2 linked regions of the Bombyx mori genome follow. The protein of the gene in region 1 interacts with the protein of each later gene in a biochemical or structural test. Links are inferred from orthologs where the notes say so. Each region holds a gene or a part of one and is shown on either strand. Other genes may lie near its edges.

The links.
Region 2: the proteins of mutS protein homolog 4 (region 1) and mutS protein homolog 5 form a complex in vitro, tested with the Homo sapiens proteins (2 studies listed by BioGRID). The link is inferred for Bombyx mori from reciprocal best matches to the Homo sapiens genes MSH4 and MSH5.

The regions. Positions count from the first base shown.
Region 1 is NC_085114.1:12,566,435-12,578,784, forward strand, and holds the start of mutS protein homolog 4, read left to right. Parts: upstream 1-1,546; 5' UTR 1,547-1,776; coding exon 1,777-1,867; intron 1,868-2,987; coding exon 2,988-3,147; intron 3,148-4,048; coding exon 4,049-4,206; intron 4,207-6,684; coding exon 6,685-6,753; intron 6,754-6,935; coding exon 6,936-7,084; intron 7,085-7,485; coding exon 7,486-7,676; intron 7,677-7,763; coding exon 7,764-7,885; intron 7,886-7,952; coding exon 7,953-8,179; intron 8,180-8,254; coding exon 8,255-8,449; intron 8,450-8,536; coding exon 8,537-8,866; intron 8,867-9,346; coding exon 9,347-9,450; intron 9,451-9,561; coding exon 9,562-9,664; intron 9,665-9,736; coding exon 9,737-9,853; intron 9,854-9,944; coding exon 9,945-10,046; intron 10,047-10,852; coding exon 10,853-10,966; intron 10,967-11,251; coding exon 11,252-11,322; intron 11,323-11,409; coding exon 11,410-11,547; intron 11,548-11,921; coding exon 11,922-12,120; intron 12,121-12,350. UniProt on the Homo sapiens protein: Involved in meiotic recombination. Required for reciprocal recombination and proper segregation of homologous chromosomes at meiosis.
Region 2 is NC_085111.1:1,002,756-1,015,105, forward strand, and holds part of mutS protein homolog 5, read left to right. Parts: intron 1-13; coding exon 14-76; intron 77-147; coding exon 148-252; intron 253-743; coding exon 744-840; intron 841-1,282; coding exon 1,283-1,467; intron 1,468-3,096; coding exon 3,097-3,142; intron 3,143-3,222; coding exon 3,223-3,361; intron 3,362-3,862; coding exon 3,863-4,083; intron 4,084-5,336; coding exon 5,337-5,482; intron 5,483-7,326; coding exon 7,327-7,536; intron 7,537-8,723; coding exon 8,724-8,873; intron 8,874-12,350.

The sequences.
Region 1 (12,350 bases):
TAATTTTGCTTCTTGTTTTTATGTGTCTGCTTGGCAATACAGCTATCCGAATATCTAATAATTTTGAATTTGTTTTTAAAAACTGCTATTATTTTAAACCCAAGACAAATTTACACACTTATGACTAAGAAATAAAAGGATCCCTCGAATTAAAAACCTTTCTAACTATTTCTTTCGTGAAGCAGTAATTCGTCTCCGTTTGAAGTTTTGGGGCAGCCGTTACAGAGACCTAATTAGAACTTATATCTCGAGGTAGGTGGCGGCATTTATATTGTAGATAGCTGACCCGGCAGACTTCGTAGTGCCTCAATCGATAAATAAAAGACCTAAACTTTTGTATAAAATAAACTTAAAACAAACAAAAGGAATCCGTCCGACGGAGGACACATCAAAGGGAACACAAAATTGTTATTTTTATTTAATTCCGAGCATTTTCATATGTATCTACCTTTTAAACCTTCTCTGGACTTCTACAAATAATTCAAGACCAAAATTAGCCAAATCGGTCGAGCCGTTCTCGAGTTTTAGCGAGACTAACGAACAGCAATTCATTTTTATATATATAGATGTCTATGGGCTCCGGTAACCACTTAACATCAGGTGGGCCGTGAGTTCGTCCACCCGCCTAAGCAATAAAAAATAAATAAAAAATACAAATGAATATGCTATCCCGCGATTGTGGTGAATTCTGTTTTTCGTTTCCAGAGTAATCTTAAAGCGACACAAACAATAAACCCCAATGTTCTCTGTCAAAAATGATATCAAAGCACGAAAAAAATAATCACAAAATATGTACATACAATTCGGAGATTGTAACAAAATCAATTGATTGCAGTAATGAAAAGTGAACTCACGGGGTTATCGTTTTTATTACATATATGTACATGTTTTTAACGCATGGCTCTTGACTGTTAGTGTAAATATTATGTATTGTTATTTTGACGTTAGCAACATTAATCATATTTTTATGTGTGGCGTGTTTTGATCCATCTGAAGTCTCATAGTAAGGAATAAGACACCCTCTGTACTCGCATTACGGGTTCAAATTTTGGGAAAAGGTATATTTTCTTGACAAATACGTACCTTATGCGTATATACGTTCGCGAAAGCGTTTGAAATTAAAGAGAATAAGATTGTGTGATTAAAATCAAGCCTACTTAAATTACCAATTTTGTTTGTACTACATAATAATATTAATATTATGTATTTAGTTACAATACGATTATAAATCCACACGGGCTTGTGGTTAGTTTGAAATAGGAGGGTTTTTTACAGTCTGGAAGATATTACCGGATATCCGGTTATTTTACAGTACATTCATATACGGCTTAGATTCCTCAATAGATACGATGTATCCAAACAGCATTTGTATTAAAATTGTAGTATCTAGTGTACATTAGGTATATAATAAACAGAAATATTAATAATTATATACTGTTTATAATTAAGAGAGCCTATGGCTGTACCTTATATATAAGCTACCCATTCTCTAAAAATCACCCACATAACTGTAAAACTATTGTTATAGACTCGACACTAGCAACAATGGTATAGTAAGAAGCTGATAGCATTTCTTGAAAAAAAAAGAACAAAGAGGGTCATCATTTTAAAACTAAAAATTAGGTTGGATGGGCTAAGACCCATTTGCCTGTCCGAGTGGACAACAAAAATAAATTTTATTTCGTGGTCGCAGAAAAGGCGCGAATTTCTAATATTTTAACTAAATAGAAGGGTTGTTTTTTATGAAGAAAATACGTAAGGAATAAAGTGTTAAACATGAACGTAGTACACAGGGAAATAACAACTGGTAAAAACAAAACACGAACCAACTTTACAGCAGATTTTGCAAGAAGAGACGCATCCTTGGGTTAGCACTTTTATTTATTTTTGTTAATCTGCTATCGAAACCGAGATGGTGAAATAAAGTTTTAGATTGACTGTAAAATAGAATCGCAACGAACCATAATGCCATACTGAAAAAAGATGAAGGTAAAGATACCACCTTACATAAAAAACACATTAGAACGTATTCATTCGCGGACATCTAAATTATCGATTCTATTTTTCGACACGTTTTTATCCTTTTTTTATAATACTGCGTCTATAGCTGCAGTAGTTAATAAATGAAACTTATGAAACTCAATCTATCTTATGGTGAATAAGTTCGTTCTGTCTATTACTTGTTCAGTGAGGGCAAAAAGAAATTCGTAGAAAGATAGGAGAGAAGGGTACACAGATTTTTCTATCCGTGATTCATTACCCTTGCGACAGGGCCGAAATATCGAGTACCCTATAAATATCCGCAGTATAAACGGTCGACTTGGATAAAATACATGAGGTAGTAGTTACTTAGTAGTTTTAACAATGCCGTGTCAGATGCGTTGGTCAATAGGGCCCGCGTGGACCGGCTCACACTCGGAATTCCTTTTAATCTCTGGTAGTAGGACCTCTTCTGAGTCCGCGTGGGTAGGTACCACCGCCCTGCCTGTTTCTGCCGTGAAGCAGTAATGCGTTTCGGTCTGAAGGGTAGGGCAGCCGTTGTAACTATACTGAGAACTTAGAACTTATATCTCAAGATGGGTGGCGCATTTACGTTGTAGATGTCTATGGGCTCCAGTAACCACTTAACACTAGGTGGGCTGTGCGCTCGTCCATCAATCTAAGCAATAAAAAAAAGAAAAAAAACGCGGCATATTTTCCGTTCTTTTGCATATTTGTTTCTAGGTTACAACCGCGTCGAGAATTACTCCAATTCTTAAGGTGTCTAGGTTTAACTGAGAAATTGTATTAAAAACAATCGAAAGTCTCAACATTAAATAATAAAGTGATACCTACAATTTTAGTACCTACGTTTGTAAAAACACTCTGTCTGCCTCTAGTCTTTATTGAATCCTGTAAGTTTATTTTTAATTCCGTGTGACCATTACGCTAAAGACGGAAACTTCACACTTTAACCTTTATTAGTAGATAACAAGAACATTTTGTAGGTATACGCGGTACTTCCCTACTGCCAGTGTCCTCATACTGTAGTGCAAGTAAAAATACGATGAAAGGTCCTAGGTATCAATTCGATGCTGCCGTGAAAACTTCAACCAAACGGTCATCTATGGGACCTCCTTCAAGGCCTCCGCCTAGTTCCAAAAAAAGGTACCTTAAAATTATTGATTATGCCATAGACATTTGACAAATTCTAAAAGCGCTCTATAGAAAAAAAACATTCGCCAGGCTACCTATTTATATTTTTATAGTAGCCATATAATTAATTATAAAAACTACAATATCTATTTATCCATACTAATATTATTAATGTGAAAGTGCCTAGTGGTCGAAATTCGACTATAATTAATTTCAAATATAAGTTTGTACATTGTTAGGGTTCTATTGTCAATAAACTTGTTTTCACAAATTTGGCCAAGGCTACACTATAGACAAATTATATTATTCTGTTTTCAATTCGACCACAGACTAACAATAAACAAAAGAGTATTTATGTATGCGTCAAATACATACATGGTAGCGTATGTAATGTTTTTCTTATTGATTTAATGTATGTTTATGTATAATTTTAAAAAGTTATTAGCATTCTGCATTCCTTCTCTATATAAACTATGAGGGTGGGAAATTTCATACTCCTCTGTCCGCGCAATTTTCGTAAAAAGGGGTACAAAGTTTTTGCTTCACGTATTAATATATTATTATAGATAACCAGTTATAATTCTTGTTTAGTACTTATGTGTTGTTCACGTACCTACATACATATTTAAATCATAATTAAGTAGGTCATCAGAAATCCTTTAAATAACAACTATCTCGCACTTCAGAAATGTCTACATGCTTGCCTTGTGCTAATAACTCATGAGTATTTTTTGGATTCGATTCTATTGGACTATAATATATTCTACCATCGTCTACCACAGTGAAGACCATTAGTGTACTTCATATAATGGTATACGACATTGGTCTACAAAAATGGGTTTTGTTCCAAAATCGAAATAACACTTGATTGCACGACTGTACAAACTTTTCAGCTCAGATTAAAACTTTATAGATTAATAAGCTCGATCTCGTCAAGACTAGAGTCGTCTTCAAGCGGAAGACAGATGCCCGCAGTACTAGCTAACGATTCCACCGCTGATACTTCCAACGACATGCGCACACCCAGGAATCGGCCAACCGCCTTGAGATACATAAGCAGTAGTAGTAGAGGTAATTGTTTTTAATGTTGTAGTAGTAAAAAAAATGTTAACATTTTCAAAGTTCCTAAACTAATTTATTCAGTACAAAATTTTGTCTTCAAATAGTTTCAAAAACAGCTTTCTTCCATAACTCACGAGCGATTTAAGAAGTATGTAGGTAATAGAATGACGTTGATGAAGTCGTCGTGGTCTAAAGGATAAGACGTCCGGTGCAATCGTATCTAGCGATGCAACGCTGTTCGAATCCCACAAGCGGGTACCAATTTTTCTAATGAAATATGTACTTAACAATTTATGTTCACGATTGACTTCCACAGCGAAGGCATAACATTGTGTAACAAAAATCAAACCCGCAAAATTATATAGGTAATTTGCGTAATTACTGGTGGTAGGACCTATTGTGAGTCCGCACGGGTAGGTACCACCGCCCTGGCTATTTCTGCCTTAGAACCCATGTCCCAATGTGGGTGACGCATTTACATTGTAGATGTCTATGGGCTCCAGTAACCACTTAACACCAAGGTGGGCTGTGAGCTCGTTCACCCATCTAAGCAATAAAAATATATAGAATATGGCATGGAATACATATGGAATATTCTAATAGTGGTTATGGAATATTGTTATAGAAACCACATTTAAAGCCTTTATTTTTCACAAATAATTTTACACAGTATTCTTGAGTTAAATAAAACTGAACTCGTATTTTTTCTCAATGACAGAGAGTTTAGTCAATCTATATAAGAAAGATCCTTTTTTTTTAAACTAAAAAGGTTTTAATAAAAATTACATAAAAAAGGTTTTTCTTTGCATGCATTTTTTTTTTAAATTAGATTAAATATTATATACTTGGTATGGATTGGAAGAGGCCTATGTCCAGCAGTGGACGACTGTGGGCTAATAGTGATGATGATTATATAATTCTAACTGACTCGGTGGTGCAGTAGTTAGCGCGTCTGACTATTGCGCCGGGGCTCGTGGGTTCGATTCCCACATCGGGCAAGCAAACATTAAAATCAAATCAAATCAAATAAAAAAAAATATTCAACATAAATGAAAGTACATACTTGTTGAACGTCAAAAAGAACTACCGCCAATTCACAAAAACCAGCCTCCGTCCTGAGAAGAACTGGCAAGAAACTCAGCGGGCATGTCTCTTTTCTTCTTTTTTTTTAATATTAGTTTTTTATTATTATTAATTTTTACAATGAGTATTATAACATAACAATTATTGCAATATTGAAATGCCCGGAGCGAATTCCCATCACGAACAGTTTTATTTGCTCTTTGTCTGGGTGTTTATTATCTATATACATATGTATTTAAAAGTAGTCATAGTATGTATGTTTGTCTCTGGTACCCATAACACAAGGAATCCTAATTTGGGGCCGGACGGCCGTGCGTGTTTTGTCCTCAGTTATTTTTTTTTTTTTTTTTTTTTTTATTGCCCTTGTAGGCAGACGAGCATACGGCCCACCTGATGGTGAGTGGTTACCGTTGCCCATGGACTTCAGCAATGCCAGGGGCAGAGCCAAGCCGCTGCCTACCGCTTAATACTCTCCACAAGCCTCGTTTGAAGAAGGACATGTCATAGCGCTCGGGAAACACCGTGGAGGGGAGCTCATTCCATAGCCGGATGGTACGTGGCAAAAAAGATCTCTGGAAACGCACTGTGGATGACCGCAGTGGCTCCAGGTAGTACGGATGAACTCTACTCCGGTGGCGGGCGGTGCGATGGTAAAAACGAGATGCCGGTATCATCTCGAACAATTCCTCAGAGCACTCCCCATGGAACATACGGTACAAAATACAGAGAGAACCGAAGTCCCTCCGCAGACCCAGAGGTTCCAAACGATCCGTGACATTGGGATTATCGACAATCCGAACGGCCCTCCTCTGTATGGAGTCAAATGGAAGAAGCTGGTATTTGGGAGCCCCGGCCCAGAGATGGGAGCAGTACTCCACGCGAGGCCGGACTTGTGCTTTATAAAGCAGAAGCCTTTGTCCAGGCGTGAAGTACCGCTTCGCTCTGTTGAGGACTCCCAGCATTTTGGACGCCAACTTGGCTTTGCCTTCCAAATGACTCCGAAACTGGACATCGCTCGAAATGTCGACCCCAAGTATCCCAATACTCTCGGAAGGTTGCAGGGATACTCCTTGGAATTGCGGCGCCATGACAAAGGGGTCCTTCTTCGCAGTGAACGCGCAAACTTGTGTCTTTAACGGGTTGAATTGAACCAAGTTCAATTCACCCCATTTGGAGACTCGCCCCAGAGAGTTCTCCACTTCAGACACAAGTTTTGATCGTCTCTCTTGCACCACGCTTCGAGAGAGACTCTGATGGCCGATATATCGCGCATCCCCCGTGCTGTCATCCGCATAGCAATGCATGCCATCAATAGACAGCATGTCATTGATATACAGTTATTATTATATTAATTATTATGTATTTGTTTCATCAATTATGTATCAAACTTTAGCTTGGTTTTAGGTGGTTATAGCGGCGCCAGATCGGGCAGATCAACGAGCGTGTCCGCAGTAGAAGCTAGTGTTATTTTAGGTAAAAAATAATAAAAAATATGATTGACACAATAATCTTGAGAAAATTGTCTTTTTCAAATATACATCTTATTATTTTGCCTCGTCTTATTTTCCGTACGCTTAATTTTTTTTACGCAATGTAAAATATTATTAAAATCTACATATCAATATTATTTAGAAATATGAACGTGTTTTGTTTAGCTATATCGGAAGGCAGAGGAATGGCCCGCGGGGAAATAGGAATGGCAGCCGTCGATCTAAAACATCCACATCTAGTACTGTGTCAATTTAGTGACACGCTCTTATACACTCACACACTAACAAAAATAAACTACTTCAATCCAGTTGAGGTAATGTAATAACTAACGCAGCTCGTGGGTACATGTATGTATATCTATACTAATACTAGCTGTACTCGTCCGCTTCGCTGGGCATTTAAAATTAACATTATTATTTCTCACCCCCACAAACATTCTCATCATTGACGCCCCCGCAACTGGTGTAGGGAGTCATATAAATATTAGCCTATATATTAATCTACAGTAGTTTTTACGAATGTTCCGTTTATAACTACTGAACCATGCATCCAATTGACTTGAAACTTGGTATCCATGTAGAAAATACATGTACTTAATGGATAGGAATAATGACAATAAATAATAATGTTAATTTTAAATGCCCACCGAAGCGGGCGAGCACGGCTAGTCATTAATAGGTATAACGCTCGCTCAATTATCACGCAACATTACAGATAATTGTGCCGCACACATTCTGCGAGGGCGTGAAACCGAATCAACTTTATCAATTGATAAAAGACCAGTTCCCTTTGTGTACCCTAACGACGGTACAAAGGAGGCATTTCAATGATTCAGCAGGCCGTCAGAACATACAGACGCTTTGCGCACCGCAATACAGCGGGGCTTATCTCCAAGTACTGCATAAGTCCGTTCAAATAATAAAAAAAAAACAAATAATCGATTAGAATTTTTGTGTTCGCAATTTTAAAAAAAAGCGTAATTTTTATTTAAGATTTTACGCACTAACCGCTGCAGCAGCGGTGCTGAAATATGTAGAACACATCCAATGTATAGTTTTCGCAAGAGAATCTCTCAAAGTCGATTATCATTCGTCAGAAAACACTATGATTATTGGTAAAGAAACAACTTTGCTTAATAAAGTATTCAGGGAAAAACTTAAAATGATTAACGATATCTTTAGACGTAGGTACGGCAACGCAACTGGAATTAGTTCAGCCTTTAGTTCCTTCGGCTGGACCAATGTGTTGTCTTCTTGGTGTGCTTGGCCCGACTTATACTGTTGGAGGGATTAGGGCATTGAGGGCTTCTATCTTGCAACCGTCTTGCAATAAACAATTAATTGAATCAAAACTAGATGTTCTTCAAGATTTAATTGAAAATGACAATGGTTTGATGGCTGATTTACAGGTGGGGAATGTGACTATTGTCGATCAATATTGCTGTTTGTCGCTCACCTTATGTTAATAGCTGAACGTATTTCAGGACATTTTGAAAAGGCTATCAGATATTGATAAAATATTATTCTTGTGCGTTGAGCATAATATTCAAAATGCTGACAAATTAGGAGAGGCGCAGCTCAATCAAGTGTTAATTCTAAAAACGACAATGAATATGGTACCAAAACTAGTTGAAGCTTTGAATCGTGCCGAAAGTGGTCTGTTAAGACAATTTAAAACGGTCAGGTTTGCTGTTTAAGCAATTTTCGTTTTTCAATTACTCAATAAATTAGGTCCGTTTTCATTTATCCAAATGTTTCTTATCCAGGATTTCGAAAATCCACATTACAATGAAATTGCCGAACGCATAAAAAATATCATACAAGACGACGCGCATTTCGAGAAGGGTGTTATGGGAAATCTCCAAAGATGTTTTGCAGTCAAGCCCGACATTAACGGACTCCTTGATGTGGCCAGAAGGACGTATTCTGAATTAATAGATGACATACAGAAAATTGTCGAACAGCTCAGCGAGACATACGACCTGCCTCTGCGGCTAAACCAAAACGTTATGAAAGGATTCCACATAGTTTTACCTATAGCTCCAAAAAACAGACGCAATTTCAGTATTGAAGATCTGCCCCCAATTTTCATACAGGTAAGTAGGTACGTGACATACGTGAAACTTGACAAGGAAGGCAGGTAGGCCAATGATCGAATGAATCCTCGAAGGCTCCGTCGGCCGGGCGTCCTTGGGGTGAGCTGCGTCGCCTGGTTGTAGTTTTGACCGCGGTAACCCCCTTACCTCCGGGTCCTGACCTCGGAGGGGATCGGACGCTTGGGCGAAGAGTGCAAGGGAGTCGTTTAGTGGATAGGGCTCTGAAAACATCCTTGGGCCCGCGGTTTCGCAGTCGCGGACCAGGCCCACATACCCCGCGCGCCCTCTAGGCGCGGGGACCTCGTAGGAGGTTCGGTCCCGGCCCGAATAAAAAGAAAAAGAAGAAAGGTAGGCCAATGATTTCAATGTTTTATGTCGGGAAAATCGAGATACAATTAAAATATTAATAAATAAATAAGAAAATCAAAATGAAACCTTAAAAATAAATCTAATTACACATATTTTAAGTTTCATATTTAGGTACACAACAACGGAGCCAGCGTATCGATGTCGACTGAAGAACTTGTAGTTCTCGATCAACAGGCAAAGGAATCTTTGAATGAAATACAAAGAATGAGTAACATGTTAGTTTAATATTTTTTTAAATATAACCGATTCCGGTCACTAAATATCTGTTTTTTTCTTAAACTAAAACATGTTCGACAAGTTTTATTTCCTAAATACGACATTTCCAGAGTTATCGACGCATTATTGAAAGACTTAAGGCCATACATGTCGAGTCTGTACAAATTATGCGAGAACGTTGCTGAAATTGACATCCTCCTGGCATTAGCACAGGTTCGGATTGTACATATTTTAATGGAACAAAAGCATTATAACTCGTACCTCTTAACTTCTTATATGTTCCAGGCTAGCATGGTAGGGTCGTATATCAGACCGGAATTTAACAGCTATTTAGAAATAAGAAACAGCGTCCATCCGTTATTGGATTATAACAGTCACGTGATGCCAGTTCCAAATGACATAGTAAGAAACGCGCGAAATAAAATCATAGAATTGAAAACTTCTTTTTTCACGTTCATCAATTATTTATAGAGTATCTCTTTTACTTTTATAGAATGCCAGCCCAGAATACAATTTCACTATAATCACCGGTCCGAATATGGGCGGCAAAAGTGTTTATATAAAACAGATTGCTATTATGCATGTTATGGCGCAAGTGAGTTTCCAATAATTTAGCTATCATAACTTCATGAATGACCAATTTAATAAATGTTTCGATTGAGAATAGCATACATTAAAATGATTTATCGATGTTTTGAAATAAAAAGAAAATATTGCCAGAAGAGCATAATAATATGGTCCACCTGATGGTGAGTGGTTACTGTCACTCATGGACGTCAACAATTCTAGGCCACTGCCTACCAATTAAAAACAGAGTATATCCTATTTATTTTACACTAGTAATCTCGAATTTCTTTTAGGCTTCGAATTTGTTGCTTGATTGCATTAAGTAAAATTCTGTACTAAAAGGATATAAATAATAGTTTAAAAAAAACTAAAAAACACGCTTTTATAAAAAATCCGATTCAAAAATGAACTAATTGTAAAAAGCGTGAGGTGCTTTTTGAGATATTACGAACATACATACTAACCTTCGTATGAATTTAATAAAAGCGTATTAAAATAAGTTGAAAGCGTTCTAATTTAATTAAATCAATTTTTATTTTTTTTATTGCTTATGTGTGTGGACGAGCTCACAGCCCACCTGGTATTAAGTGGTTACTGGAGCCCATAGACATCTACAACGTAAATGCGCCACACACCTTGAGATATAAGATCTAAGGTCTCAGTATAGTTACAACGGCTGCCTCACCCTTCAAACCGAAACGCATTACTGCTTCACGGCAGAAATAGGCAGGGCGGTGGTACCCGTGCGAACTCACAAGAGACCCTACCACCAGTAGTGTACCATTGCCTAATTATATATTGTAACGTTATAACTGCTTTTAAATTACTAAGCAGATTGGTTGTTTCTTGCCCGCTACTAATGCTGTACTGCGACTTAGTGACAGAATATTTTCGAGAATCGGTTTCAACGACAGCGTTGAGTTGAACGCTTCTACTTTTGTTTTCGAGGTAATATTTCTCATTACATTTAAAGTAAAGTGTGACTTTTAAAGTATTTATTGGATACATGTATCTGAAAATTTCGAACACAAAAACTATACGTAATTGTTAGCAATTTTTCACATCTGTGTGCTCAGTGCGAGTTTTTTTATCTTCTCGATCGCGTAAAAGAAAGCTAATTAAGATTTGTGTGGAGTTCGAACAACGCCCCTGGCGGCAAACTAAGGGAAGCTGTTCCAACTCAGAGAATATTTAATAACATTAATATAAATTAAACTAGTATTTCTATGACAGATGAAAGAGATGCAGCATATTTTAAAAGGACTGACGCCATCAAGCCTGGTCATAATAGACGAACTCTGTCGGTCAGTACCTATTTAAAGACATTATTGAAAAAATTATGTATAAAATTTCCTTTCTATGTAAATATATAATATGGAATATTTATCCAGCGGTACAACATACGAAGAGGGAGTCAGTATAGCTTGGGCGATCTGTGAAGAATTAATATTATCTGACGCTTTCACGTTCTTCACAACACACTTTTTATATTTGACGAAATTGCAACACCTTTACTACAACGTGGTCAAGTATGTAGTACGCTCTAAGCAAAAACTAACAAGAAAAAAATAATCACATTAACAATTGTCATTTTATTGTTTCTAAACAAAAATTAGACTCGCAACCGCAAGTTTATCATTTTTATTTGATTCTTTTAATATTTTTTGGTGTGTTAAAAATTGTTTTTCAAATTTGCATTAAAAATGTGTGTAGGCTAAAAAGTCATTTCGTTTTAACGATAACTTATCATCATACACGCGATATGAATCCCATCTTGTAATATAATGTCGATAACTGGGGTAAATTGGAATAAAATTCAGAGTTATTTGATATTTTAACTAACGATTTAAATTTTAAGGCAATTTTTACTTTATTGCTTACGACGATACGTATAATTTTGTAGTCGCCATACTACTGTTAAGGAAGAAAACGTTGATGAACTGAACGATTCTCATAAAAAACTGATTTATGAACATAAAATAGAATTAGGAGTTACGAATATAAAAAACTATGGATTGGCTTTGGCAGCAAAAACAAATTTACCAGAAGACACCGTAAAACTTGCATTTGAACTAGCAGAACTTATGACCATTGATGAAGAGGTTAAGTATTATACATAAATAAGAATATTAATATAAATAAATTATTTGTAAGATTTTTCTCGAAGATATTCATTTATGATGTCATCGGTACACCCCCTTCCCGACTACAGCGATTGGCTTTCTATTTTACTAGTCCAAGTTTTATGGCATGCTCTTATGTGGAAAATATGGAAAATTATAGAGATATAGTCAAAGTTTATTTAATAAACAACAAGCATCATAACAGGAAA
Region 2 (12,350 bases), on another chromosome or scaffold:
CTACATATTTCAGGGTATTTTAGCCAAAGTTAAGGCACTTTCAGCAAAACCGTATCAATGGAAATCTTTGTACAACGTAAGCATAAACATATACAGCAACTATGTACCTTCAATATTTGTTTTTAAAACTCTATAACCCGTCATCAGACGCTGTATAACGCGGTGCTGATATGCGAGATGTGTGAGAACGCCGGAAAATCCAGTTCTTTTTTAGAGCAGCTTGCCTCATGCGATAATAAGAAACTTTATGAGGTCAGAATTTAAATAGTATTTAAATAATCAATAACCTGTTATTGTTGTTGTATACCATACGAGTATATGTGTGGAGGAGCTCACGGCTAAAGATCCCATGGAGACAGCCCACTGAGTTTCTCGCCGGATCTTCTCAGTGGGTTGCGATTCCGATCCGGTGGTAGATTCTGCGAAGCACTGCTAGGGCTAGGGCTGGCTAGCAATTTCTCTCAGGTTGAGCCCATGAGCTCACCTACTCGTCCGCGTGAAGTTGGAATAACCTCTTAGGCAACCAAGGTGGGGCAAGGTAGCGAATAAGTTGTACAAAAACAAGCTAGGACACCAATGTCAGTACCGTCAACAACATATAAGACAAATGGTCGAAATCTGACCTACATGACTTTATAATTTATTAAAATAAACTTTATCAAGGTAGGTACATTTTTGAATTAGTAATGAAAATGATATAATAGTATAATGAAATCAATTGGATATTTTTGTATTTATACCAGATGGCCCTATACATGAATCGCATTATAGACTTCGATCAGTCTAAAACTGAAGGAAAGTTCACTGTAAAATCCGGCGTGGATCCTGAATTAGATCGAAGTAAGTATTATGAATTTGTACATATGTATGTAATTCCTCAAGATTTTCTATGTATCTCTTGATTTATCTCTATTTAGCTATTGTTATAGAACCAATGATGCCATGTTTGAAAATAAAACTTAAATTAGTACATACCATGATTTCACAATAATTTCCTTTTTTTTATTTTTTATTGCCCGTGTAGGCAGACGAGCATACGGCCCACCTGATGGTGAGTGGTTACCGCCGCCCATGGACTTCAGCAATGTCAGGGGCAGAGCCAAGCCGCTGCCTACCGTGATTTCATTACATTCAATCCCAATTAGTATATTTTTATACCTTATCTGTGTATCTAGTATGGCTCTAATAAAGAATTAAAAAAAAAAAAAAGTGTATCTAGTGTCATGTTAAGTCACTTACACATATAATATAAAGTTGTCTTGAATAATTTGAAAACAATCAGAAAAGCGAACAATGGCCAGTCTCCACGGGCTCATGTCGGAAACTGCTAAAGTGGAGTTGGAAAGACTGCCCTCTTTTATAGAAGAATGCAGCATGCTTTACATGCCGCACTTAGGGTACTTACTCGCCGTGAAAGTTTGGGACGGTATGGGGGCGAGGGAAGAGCTACCCGGCCTGAAGTTTATGGTGAGGCTCTATACATATTTCTTCAATGATGAAATTATTTGGTACTAGGTACTCTAGGTACTTTGGTACGGTGTGAATCCACAGACATAATTGTAAATGCCGCCATCTGTTTTGAGACATGAATTTGTAATTGTATTTTAAGACGGCTATCCTAACAACTGTGTCACAAAGGCATGGCCCCACGCGGCAACCCTCACACAGGATGGACCACACGCTCGTGATGGTATCATTTAATATAATTGAAGCCATGAGTGGATGAAGGGAATATGATACAATTTCTTAATTTTGAGAAAACGGGCAACAAACTTTTGTCACTTGTACTTTTTCTTCGTACACAACTCCATCACATGCAATCTCTAAAAATAGCCTTTAAACCTCGAGTCTTAAGGTCTAATATGGTTTATAGGCACATAATATCGTCATTCAATGTAAAAACTCAATAATCTTAAAAATGGTACTCAACCCTTCATCCACTCATGTCTTCAATTATGCTCTATAAAAATACCTTATGTTCTCTCTAGTATAAAGTTCATTTATCTGTCCCTGATTCTTAAACTTATAAAAGTGTGACTAGATTCATTGGTAATATTTCATTTTTACGGCAATAATGATATTTCTTACAAAAAATAATCTATATAGCTTATGATCGCATCTTCCTCTCGCTGTAAGTAGTACGTGTACGTTGTCTACAGTCCGGTGTGCTTAGTGTGAGTTTTTTTACGTTCTCGATAGCGTAAACGTTAACTCAAATTCGTATGCAGTTGAAACGGCACCCCTAGCGGCCAACGTCCCAACTGCGTACAAATTTGAGTTAACTTTTACACTATCGAGAACGTTAAAAAACTCGCACTAAGCACACTGTTCACTCTTGCAACAAAACAACCACTCGTCTCGGTTTGAATTGATTCTTTGGCTTCACAACTAGACATCTGGGCCACAACTTCACATTGGCTTACGAATTTCGAGTGATCGCTGAAACCGAGGAAGACGAGAGATCAATTAAACATCTTTTACTATTAATGCGATACTGTATGAATGGGTATACGTTTGTTACTTAATCACACAAAAACTAAGTTGTACTGTAAATCTGAGACTTAGAATTCATGTCTCAATGGCAATGTAGTCTCATGTACGGCATTTACATTTATTGTCTATGGGCTCCGGTAACCACCTAACACCAGGTGGGCTGTAAGCTAGTCTATCCATCAAAGCAAAAAAAAAGAAACAAACATAATTTGATGAAATAATCGCATAAATATATCTTAAAGTAAATCTGACAGTTCTGGTTCGTGAGTTTTCGTACCCATAAATCTACTCTTTTTTTTTTTGTTGCCCTTGTAGGCAGACGAGCATACGGTCCACCTGATGGTGAGTGGTTACCGTCGCCCATGGACTTCAGCAATGCCAGGGGCAGAACCAAGCCGCTGCCTACAAATCACTACTCATCGGCTGGTAGTTGTTGACCCAGCGGGCGACACAACTCTCTATCCCGGGACAACGCAGCGAATGCTAACCTTTCAAAATTACCGACAGAACGCGGGTGAAACCGCCTGGTACGTCTAGTGTTTAAATAGAATAATCTATATAGTGCTGTAATGTTTACTGCATAGTTAGGTACGTTGCTTTCAGTTTCAGAACAACGAGTTCGTTCACTACAAAAGTAAGGGTTGCGAAGGTATGTATGTATGTATGTAGTATCTGTAACATTTAGTTTCTTGTTTTAATTTTTTTTTTTATAAATAATTAACTTGTCAGAACTAGACGTGATGATCGGCGACACGTACCCCGAGATAGTAGCTCATGAGACCCGCATCATGATGAGGCTGACTGCAGTACTGCTTGAGCACCTCCACACCCTGGCTAGCGTTATCGATAACTGTGCAATGCTAGATTGGTTAGTTTATCGATACTTAATGTGGTCACTTTTAATCGTTTACAAAGATATTTCTGATACAAGAGCTTCTTTTTTATAACATAGATGTTTTTGCCCGGTGTTACTGGTGTTATCGGAGCCCATACATATCTCAACGTGCATGACGCCACTCACCTTGACACATGAGGTGGAAATCGAACTGTCAGACTCTTTCAGAGGCACTGGGGTAGCTGTTAGCAAATCTCATTCTTCCTGGCGGAACTAGAAATGCCTTTGTGTGTTCAATAACCTCCTCCATCCTATAAAATAAAAACCTTAATTTTCTGAACCATAGAGAGGACGTATCTATTCTGAAAATGAATGAATATTGGGAAATTATGTTTTTGTACAAGTCGAATAACACGTCCCAAAATCATAATAACAGCACTACATTTTATATAAATAAGCCGTAGTTTATTTTTAAACGCTATCTTCCTCGTAAATTTTATAAAATCAATATAAAGTTCCACTGAATTGTCCCAGTCTCATAGCAATATCGAAAACTAGTAAAGAGTTCGGCTACACCCAGCCCACTCTAGTCGAGACTAAGTCGATCAGTATCAAGCAAGGGAAGCACCCCTTACACATGACCACGTGCGAGGCCTTCGTACCCAACGACTTCGAGAGCAACGAACAAGTTGGCTGCGTTAAAATCCTGACCGGCCCTAACTCTAGTGGAAAATCTGTTTATATGAAGCAGATAGGTAAGTGACGCCTTCAGCTCTAACACTCTCCTCCTCCTCGCATCGTTTCCTCACTGCTGAGGGTCGTGACCATTATAATTCGACATAATTTTACTCCTTGTGATGTCCCGCCAGCTCCTCCGATCATTGGCCGCATGAAGGGCGTCGTGGAATGGGATCTCTAGTGTGGTGCGGATTTGGTCGAACCACCTTGTCGGACCAGCTCTAACACTAGGAGCAGGCTTAGGGACCCCGGAAACCGTACTCGTCGAACTCGACAAAAAGTTTGACATGCAACCTAACCCATGAATCAGCTCGCTGAGTTTCTCGCCGGATCTTCTCAATAGGTCGCGATTCTGATCCGGTAGTAGATTCATTCGCGAAGCAGCTGCTCTTGAGTTGTTAGGTTTCCTTCGGAGGCGCTCGGACAGCTGTTAGCAAATCCCACCCCTCCTGGCTGAGCTATTGCTCGCCCACCTGTCCTGGTGAAACTGGAAAGGCCTCCGGGCCACCACTAATCCTTCAATCCTAAAAAAAATAGAATATTCATGCGGGTGCTTAGTGTTGGGTAAAGTCACCGTCGTTGTCTGCCGCGAAATTAGATCTCTCTTAGGTTTAGATTTGGTCTCGTATCTTGAAGAGCATAACTTCAACACAATCATGTCTTAAAATAGGTCGACAGTTAAATTGAGTTTCATGTGATGCTAAGATTATTTCATCAAGTAAAGGACATCATGTGCATCTATCATCATCATCATCAGTCTACATATGTCCACAGCTGGACATAGGTACCCCTCATGATTCGCCCCAATGATCGGTTCTGCTTTACACGAGATCCAACGGCCACATTCTACGTGAGATGTGCCCTGTTCTGCCATTGCCAATTCAAAATCGGCATCTTTTGTGTTAGGTATATCGGTTATCATGGTTTTCCTGTGTATCTCTTCATTCCTGAACCGATCGCGTAAGGAAACTCCGTGCGCCTTTTCTATTGCACTTTGGGTGACTTTGTGACTTCTGATAATAGATGCGATTATAGAAATAGCTTAACTTGAACTCGCAACTGACCTGTGGCAGATGTGACTCTTAGAAGTAAGCATAAATAATTTTCATAATATGTCGCTTACATTCCACCACACGGGCAGTTCACAGTATCAAAAGTTCGGTAGGGTGAAGATACGAAACTACTAAAACCTAATATACTAATTTCATTCCTCAGGCAATCAGCCAATTGACCAGGAGCATAGTTGTTAAAACATTATTAATATCTCCAGGTCTGATAGTGTATTTAGCTCACATCGGTAGCTTCGTGCCGGCTGACTCGGCTGTCATAGGCATCGTGAGTCACATATTCACAAGGATGCAGTCAACTGAATGCATCGCAGCGCACATGTCAGCTTTCCTAATAGATTTGAGACAGGTTATTACTAGCATTGTTAGTAGTATTGTACTTGTAATATTAGTAGTATTGTACTAGTATTAGATTACTTAGAATTGAATACGTACATAATTCTAATGGTTAAAGATCAGCCAATATATACAAATATTGACATCGAAAAAGTTGCAGAGAACTTTCTAGAATATTTTTTCTTTGTTACATATGTAACTAAAGACGTAGATAAGTTATTTGCAATTTTGCTTGTATGCAATGGTTGAAGACGTCAGCCTCCAAGTGACGAAAATAGCACATACGTGTACTGTCATTGATTGTCTAAACGTTTAAATATAATTATTTAGTGCTTTCACTTATAACTCAGTGATATCTATCTGATGTCAAGTGATATCTGGAATAGGAGTGGGTGATATAAATCGTATATAGATTCAATATCTATATATCGCAGCAATATCGTTGAATCCGATATCGCCCCGCACGAAATCTATATATCGATATCAGCCGATACACGATATTGCTCGATGTGATGTGCATCGCCATATTGTACCGATTCGTGAATCGAAATCTATATTTCGATATCAGCCGATACACGATATTGCTCGATGTGATGCGCATCGCCATATCGTACCGATTCGTTAATATCAGCAATATTCGTTTGGTTCGTATCGAATCGGCCAGAGTGAGTGAGCGCACGATAGGGATATCATGTGATGAATGAAACAGAAACAGGCATTATCCATACAATTGTAAACCTTATATTTAAGTCCATATGTCTGTAGATTATTCTTAGTGTATCAGCAGGATACAATTAAGGAAAGAAGTTTCAACTTTCGACCCTAACTTGAATGCAGTATAACCTATTTGCATCGTTGAATTTAATTTCACGCGCTTTGACCTTGAACTAGAATTTTTGGACAAGTGTTTATAAATACTTAAAAGTTTTAGGGTTTGATTTTTAAAGTACACATTTTTCTATTTTTAGTTGAATCCAAATAATTGAGTTTATTTCTTGTGTTTGTATTAAACTTTTGAAATCTACACTCTTTTGGTATATTTTGTAATTTTAAATTAAGACACAAAATACTAAAAACTGAAAATAATGTAGCCAGTCCTAAGCCTGGTAAAAGCATGAAGGAAAGTTTTTTTGATATTTTTATTTTCATGTTCTTTTTATTACTTTAAGATCATATTATAAATTGATATCAGAAAACCAACCGTATAACGTTGACTTAAATCTATATCTACTACGATATTATATCAGCGTATCGTTTCAAATCTCAAATATCATGAATCGAGAAAATCTACTAGCATCCATCAATATATAGATTCAGAAAATATATAGATTCAATATCCGATATTGATCCTCGATATATAGATACGATTCGATACGCGGCAAAACCGATATTACCCACTCCTAATCTGGAAACCATTGACATCACAATGTTAATGCCGCTATTGAACTAGATACATGAGCTTTAAGTCTAAATTGTATAGTTTAAAGGCTGTTTCAAACTTCAAATAGAAAAGCTTTGTGGCAGAAATAGATCGGATGCCGGTTTTTTTCTTTTTTTTTATGGGTGATAGGCTTAGATGGGTGGACGAGCTCACAGCCCACCTCGTGTAAGTCTTTACTGGAGCCCATAGACATCCACAACGTAAATGCGCCATCCACCTTGAAATATAAGTTCTAAGATCTCAGTATAGTTACAACGGCTGCTACGCCCTTCAAACCGAAACGCATCACTGCTTCACGGCAGAAATAGGCAGAGTGGTGGTACCTACCCGCGCGGACTCACAAGTGGTCCTACCACCAGTAAATAGATCGGGTGCCGGTATCAAAACACAGGCACCGAAAGTTAGGAGCATTTCAGATGGCTCTGGTTCTACAAGAGTCGACGAGTAGCAGCCTGGTGCTGGTGGACGAGTTCGGCAAAGGCACAGCGCGGCGCGACGGGGCGGCCCTGCTGGCGGCCGCGCTGGGCGCCGTGCTGGCTCGCGCGCGCCGCCCGCACGTGCTGCTCGCCACGCACTTCCTGCAGCTGCACCACTACATCGCTCCCTCGCCACTACTCACGTTCTTGGTAATATTGACAACGCCATTCTTATAGAACATTTTTTATTATATTCTATTTTAATAACCTAACAACCAAGTTCACAGTTCAGGCTATGTAAAGCGGTACCACGACCTTTTTTTTGGTCACGAGGAAATCACCGGACTTCCGCATTCCACTAGAGATGAAGGGCGGGGTATGTCAGAGACAAACTGACTAAAACCTCTAGTCGCTCAACAACACACGTCCGAACCTCGCAAGAACTCATGAAAAGGCAGACCAGTGGTCGTCGACCACTAGCCCTCTCGGTCGGTAGGCTATCCGAAGCCCGTCTAGATGGCGGTTTGCTAGAATTTGCTAAAATGAGAATACCCCGCTAGGTCAGAACCAGCGTGGGTCGATTATAGCCGGCCTTTCATGACCCATGCTCTTGCGGAAAACGCGTGCAGAGCAGTTTGCACGTCATCTTCTTAGGTGCTTTTCGCCGATCCCCAGACCGCTATGTGATAGGACTCGAAACACTTAGAGGGCCAGGGTTTGGGCCAGCTTCGCCTCCTTGGCCCCCGCTCGACAGTAGCGGGATTATGCATCTTTCAAGCGCCCCGCCGCCACCTTCTGCGAGATGATGCACTCGCAGAAGTCGAGCACCGCCTTCCGTGAATCGTCGCCGCCGAACATTAGTGCTCGGCAAGGACAAGTCGTTTCCTATTTTTGCGGCGAGGTTACGGCGCCACCCCTCCCATGCGGGGCAGACGATGAGCGTGGGCTCCGCCGTGTCCAAGTCGCAACCACAATGGTGGCACTCTGCCATCGGCTCGGCTCCGATCCGGTGCAGGAACTCACCGAAGCAACCATGCCCAGTGAGCACCTGCGTGAGCCGGAAAGTGAGGCGTTTCGACGATTCACCCAATTTACAAGGACCAAGCGAATCGCCTCGACGGTCCTACGACCAGCCGAAGGATCGGCCAGCCGCCTAGACCAGGACCCCAGCACGGACCGCCGAAATTGGGCCCTCCGTGAACTGACCACACTGGGGTTGCGGTTCGTCACCACATGTCTACTTAAGACTGAGACTTCAATTCGTTTGGAATAGGAACAAGTGTCGTAGGTACCCCTCTAAGACAAGTGATACTTTGCGGTAGAAATTGTAGTATATTGAATATTTGAAATATTGAAGGTAAATGTGAAACCGCAGATAAATACGTTTGTTGCGTCAGACATTCGATCACGTAATGCGCGACGGCTCCCCCGTGTTCTTGTACCGCGCGCGGACGGGCGTCGCCGGCGCCGGGCTGGCGCGCCACGCCGCCGCCGGGCTGGGCGCACCCGCGCTGCGCCGCGCCGACCTACTGGCGCGCTGTCTGCAGGTCATCCACTGCACCATACATTATACACTTAATATATGAGACACTGCACCCTCAGACGGCTCCTGATAAATACTATAGACAAATTCATAAACATCTCCTGTACTTTGAAATCGATGTATTTCGCTTAACGAAAAAATACATATGATTAAACTTTTCAAAATCTTAAAAAAATCCAAATCATGCCAAATAAAGTATTGATGTGCCTTTGGAAAACATACAGCATTGTATTATGAAGAAGCAGTGTGTACTTAGCTTAGATTCCTTGTCTATGTCCAACCATAGACAGTCAATTTAGTTCCATCCTTAGCCGCTAGGTGCTGCCAGCAAGTATAAAGGGAGCGCAGCCATCTTTGATCTTCATAGCGTTGTGTACTTTCGTACTGTGAAGTCGCAAGTCCACTAATATTTATTCGACTTCTTATTAATTGCAAAAAATATTTATTTTGTGTTTCTATGAGTGTTATTTTGCAATCATTACGAGTATTATTTACCAATCCTATCATCGGACGCCATGAATCACGCGTCATCTGTTGGAGGTGATGTTGAGTCAAGCTCCATAATTTCCGAGAGGGAAGATGTCCAGGCGAGACGCGATGGAGACGCCTCGCGTTCGAACAGCTCGTCAAGCGAAAAAGAACAAAAGGAGTCTCTGCGTAAGAAACGACGGGATTCAAAGGTAACGGTCGATCTTCGAATCGGCTCGTTATCCCACCAGGTCAGTGACGTTGTAAATCTAATAATGCATCAACTGTGTGTAACAATTGAATGTAACGAAAATTGTTGTAAACAAATTGATCTCGTCAATACGGAAATTTTGACAAAAACACAACAGATTTAAACTAATAATCTTTGTAACATAATTACTGAAAACTTTGACAAATCGTCTCCGTCGTACAAGTTACCCGTAAAAAGCGTTTTAAATTGTATACGGAAAAAAGGGCCGTATGTATAGAAATAAGACGTCAAAGTTTAATTTCCGTGGTCTCTAACAAAGTATCCTGTTGCCAACGCACCACTCATTGAGGAATTTTTGTTTGATAATAGTAAATTGAAATCTATTCAGTCCCTCGGAGGGCTACAATCCTATTTGTCACGATCTCGTACAAAAGGTAAGCCAAACATTATAAACAATCATAGTCCGTAACATCTGGCACAATCCAGAGGGGGGCAATTGAAGACACCGACGGGAGGCACTGAGTGCCACCAAAATTGTAATAATTTGTAAACCATGTATGGTTACCAAATACCGTAAAAAAAAAACAAAAAAAAAATTTTCTGCGGAAGAAAAGCGACGGATCAATGCGTCCAACTGTTTTTCGGACACCTAGGTACCAAACTTTCTCCACCCAGGGGACTGGATGATAGAATTGAACATTTCTCAGGAATATTTTTCTAGTATCAGTCGCAAAATTTCGTCGATACTTCTTGAGGATCAGTACCAAGGTACCAGTATCAGTACCTCCAGGAAGGAATCGGTACCTTCTTATGAGTTAGTATGAAATGACATGCCTACCCTTCGATCTGGCTTCAGAGCCACACCTTTTTGCTTCTATAACATGCGGGTCGCAGAGACCTTGCGTGCAAAGGGAACTCGAGTGCTAGTGTCTACTAGACGACTTCCTTTTTGGTCGACCAAGACAAATCCAAGTTGAAACTTCAGGCTGCAGAAGCTGCGAAGCTTTTGGATTAACCTTTTTTGCTTCCATAACATGCTGGGTCGCAGAGACCTTGCGTGCAAAAGGAACTCGAGTGCTAGTCTACCTAGACGACTTCCTTTTGGTCGACCAAAACAAATCCAAGTTGAAACTTCAGGCTGCAGAAGCTGTGAAGGTTTTGGATTATCTGGGCTGGCATGTCAATTTCCATTATATAGGGTGCTCGGTCGCTCGGTCGCTCGGTCGCGGAGATATTGCGTGCAAAATCGAGTGCTAGCTTACCTACACGACTTAATCTTGTTTCACCAAGACAAATAAACGTTTTTGTTCCCATAGCATGCTCGGTCGCGGAGACCTTGCGTACATAGGGAAGTCAAATGTTAACGTACCTACGCGACTTTCTCTTGGTCCTTGAAGACAAATACACCTTTTTGCTTCCACAGCATGCTCGGTCGCAGAGGCATTGCGTGCAAAATCGAAGTGCTAGCTTACTTACACGACATGATCTTGTTTCACCAAGACAAATAAACGTTTTTGCTCCCATAGCATGCTCGGTCGCGAAGACCTTACGTACATAGGGAAGTCAAATGTTAACCTACCTACGCGACTTTTTCTTGGTCCATGAAGACAAATACACCTTTTTTGCTTGCATAGCATGCTCGGTCGCGGAAACATTGCGTGCAAAGGGATGTTGAGTGTTATCCCACCTACGCAAATCCCACCAGGTCCATCAAAAGAAGTCCAAGTTGAGTCTCCAGGCCACATAAGCTGTAAAACTCTTGGATTATTTGGGCTGCCAAGTCAGCCTTACAAAAAATCAATTAGTACACTGGTTCAAGAGATGACATGTCTAGGGATTCGATGGAAAATTGCGAGAAATGAAGTGGCCACTCAACAACATCCTAGCTCAAACTCTGACGGAATTACATCAATCTATGCTAACTTGCAAATTTTCTTGCGAAGTTTCAAGAAAAGGGGTTACAAATGCAGTGCTGACGCGGAGCCACATGTCAAACATTGCCGAGACCCAAAACCAACCATTTCCTGGCAACGGAAGCTTCGGACATGGGTAGGGGTTACAATTAGACAAAATATTAACGTCCTGTCTATGGTCAGCTCAACAACAGAAACGGCTCACCCACAAAAGAGCTATTTGTAATGGTAGTGACAATCAAAATGAATCTGAAAGTATTTCACTAACGTTGACCTTTCGATTTTTAAACCTAAGCGATAAGTTCAAGATAACTGTCAGCTTATCTCTCGGGGAGATACAACATCATAGCCGACAGGCTATCACGAGGAAATCAACCTGCGAAATGGCACTTTTTACCACAAGTGACCACAAAAGTTTTTCGAAAGTGGGGTCATCCGGATATAAACCCATTCGCCGACCAAGATTAGATACCTTCAGCAGACCGTAGAGGATGCAACTAGCATGGAGAATTCCTCCTCTCAACCTTCTCCCCAAAGTACTGACTCACTTCAACAGTGTCTAGGGAACCTACCTGGTAGTGTTCCCAGACTGAGCGAAAGCATTTGGGTTTCCAAGCCCTCAGATCCCGAACGCTAGATAACTCGCACGAAATCCAAAACCTGCCTCCTCCACAGGTTAAACATTAACCCTGAAAGCTTAGAAAGGGGGGGGGGGGTTGTACAAATAATAGACTGGTCTAAACAGGAGAAGATTTATTGAAAATTAGCTGGTGTCAATCCACTTTGTCAGCATACTTACCAGCAACTAGAAGATGGTGCATATGGTGCATATGGTGCTACAGTTTTAAAATTGATCCTAAGTCTGCAGATGTTGCCAAATTCTTTCTTC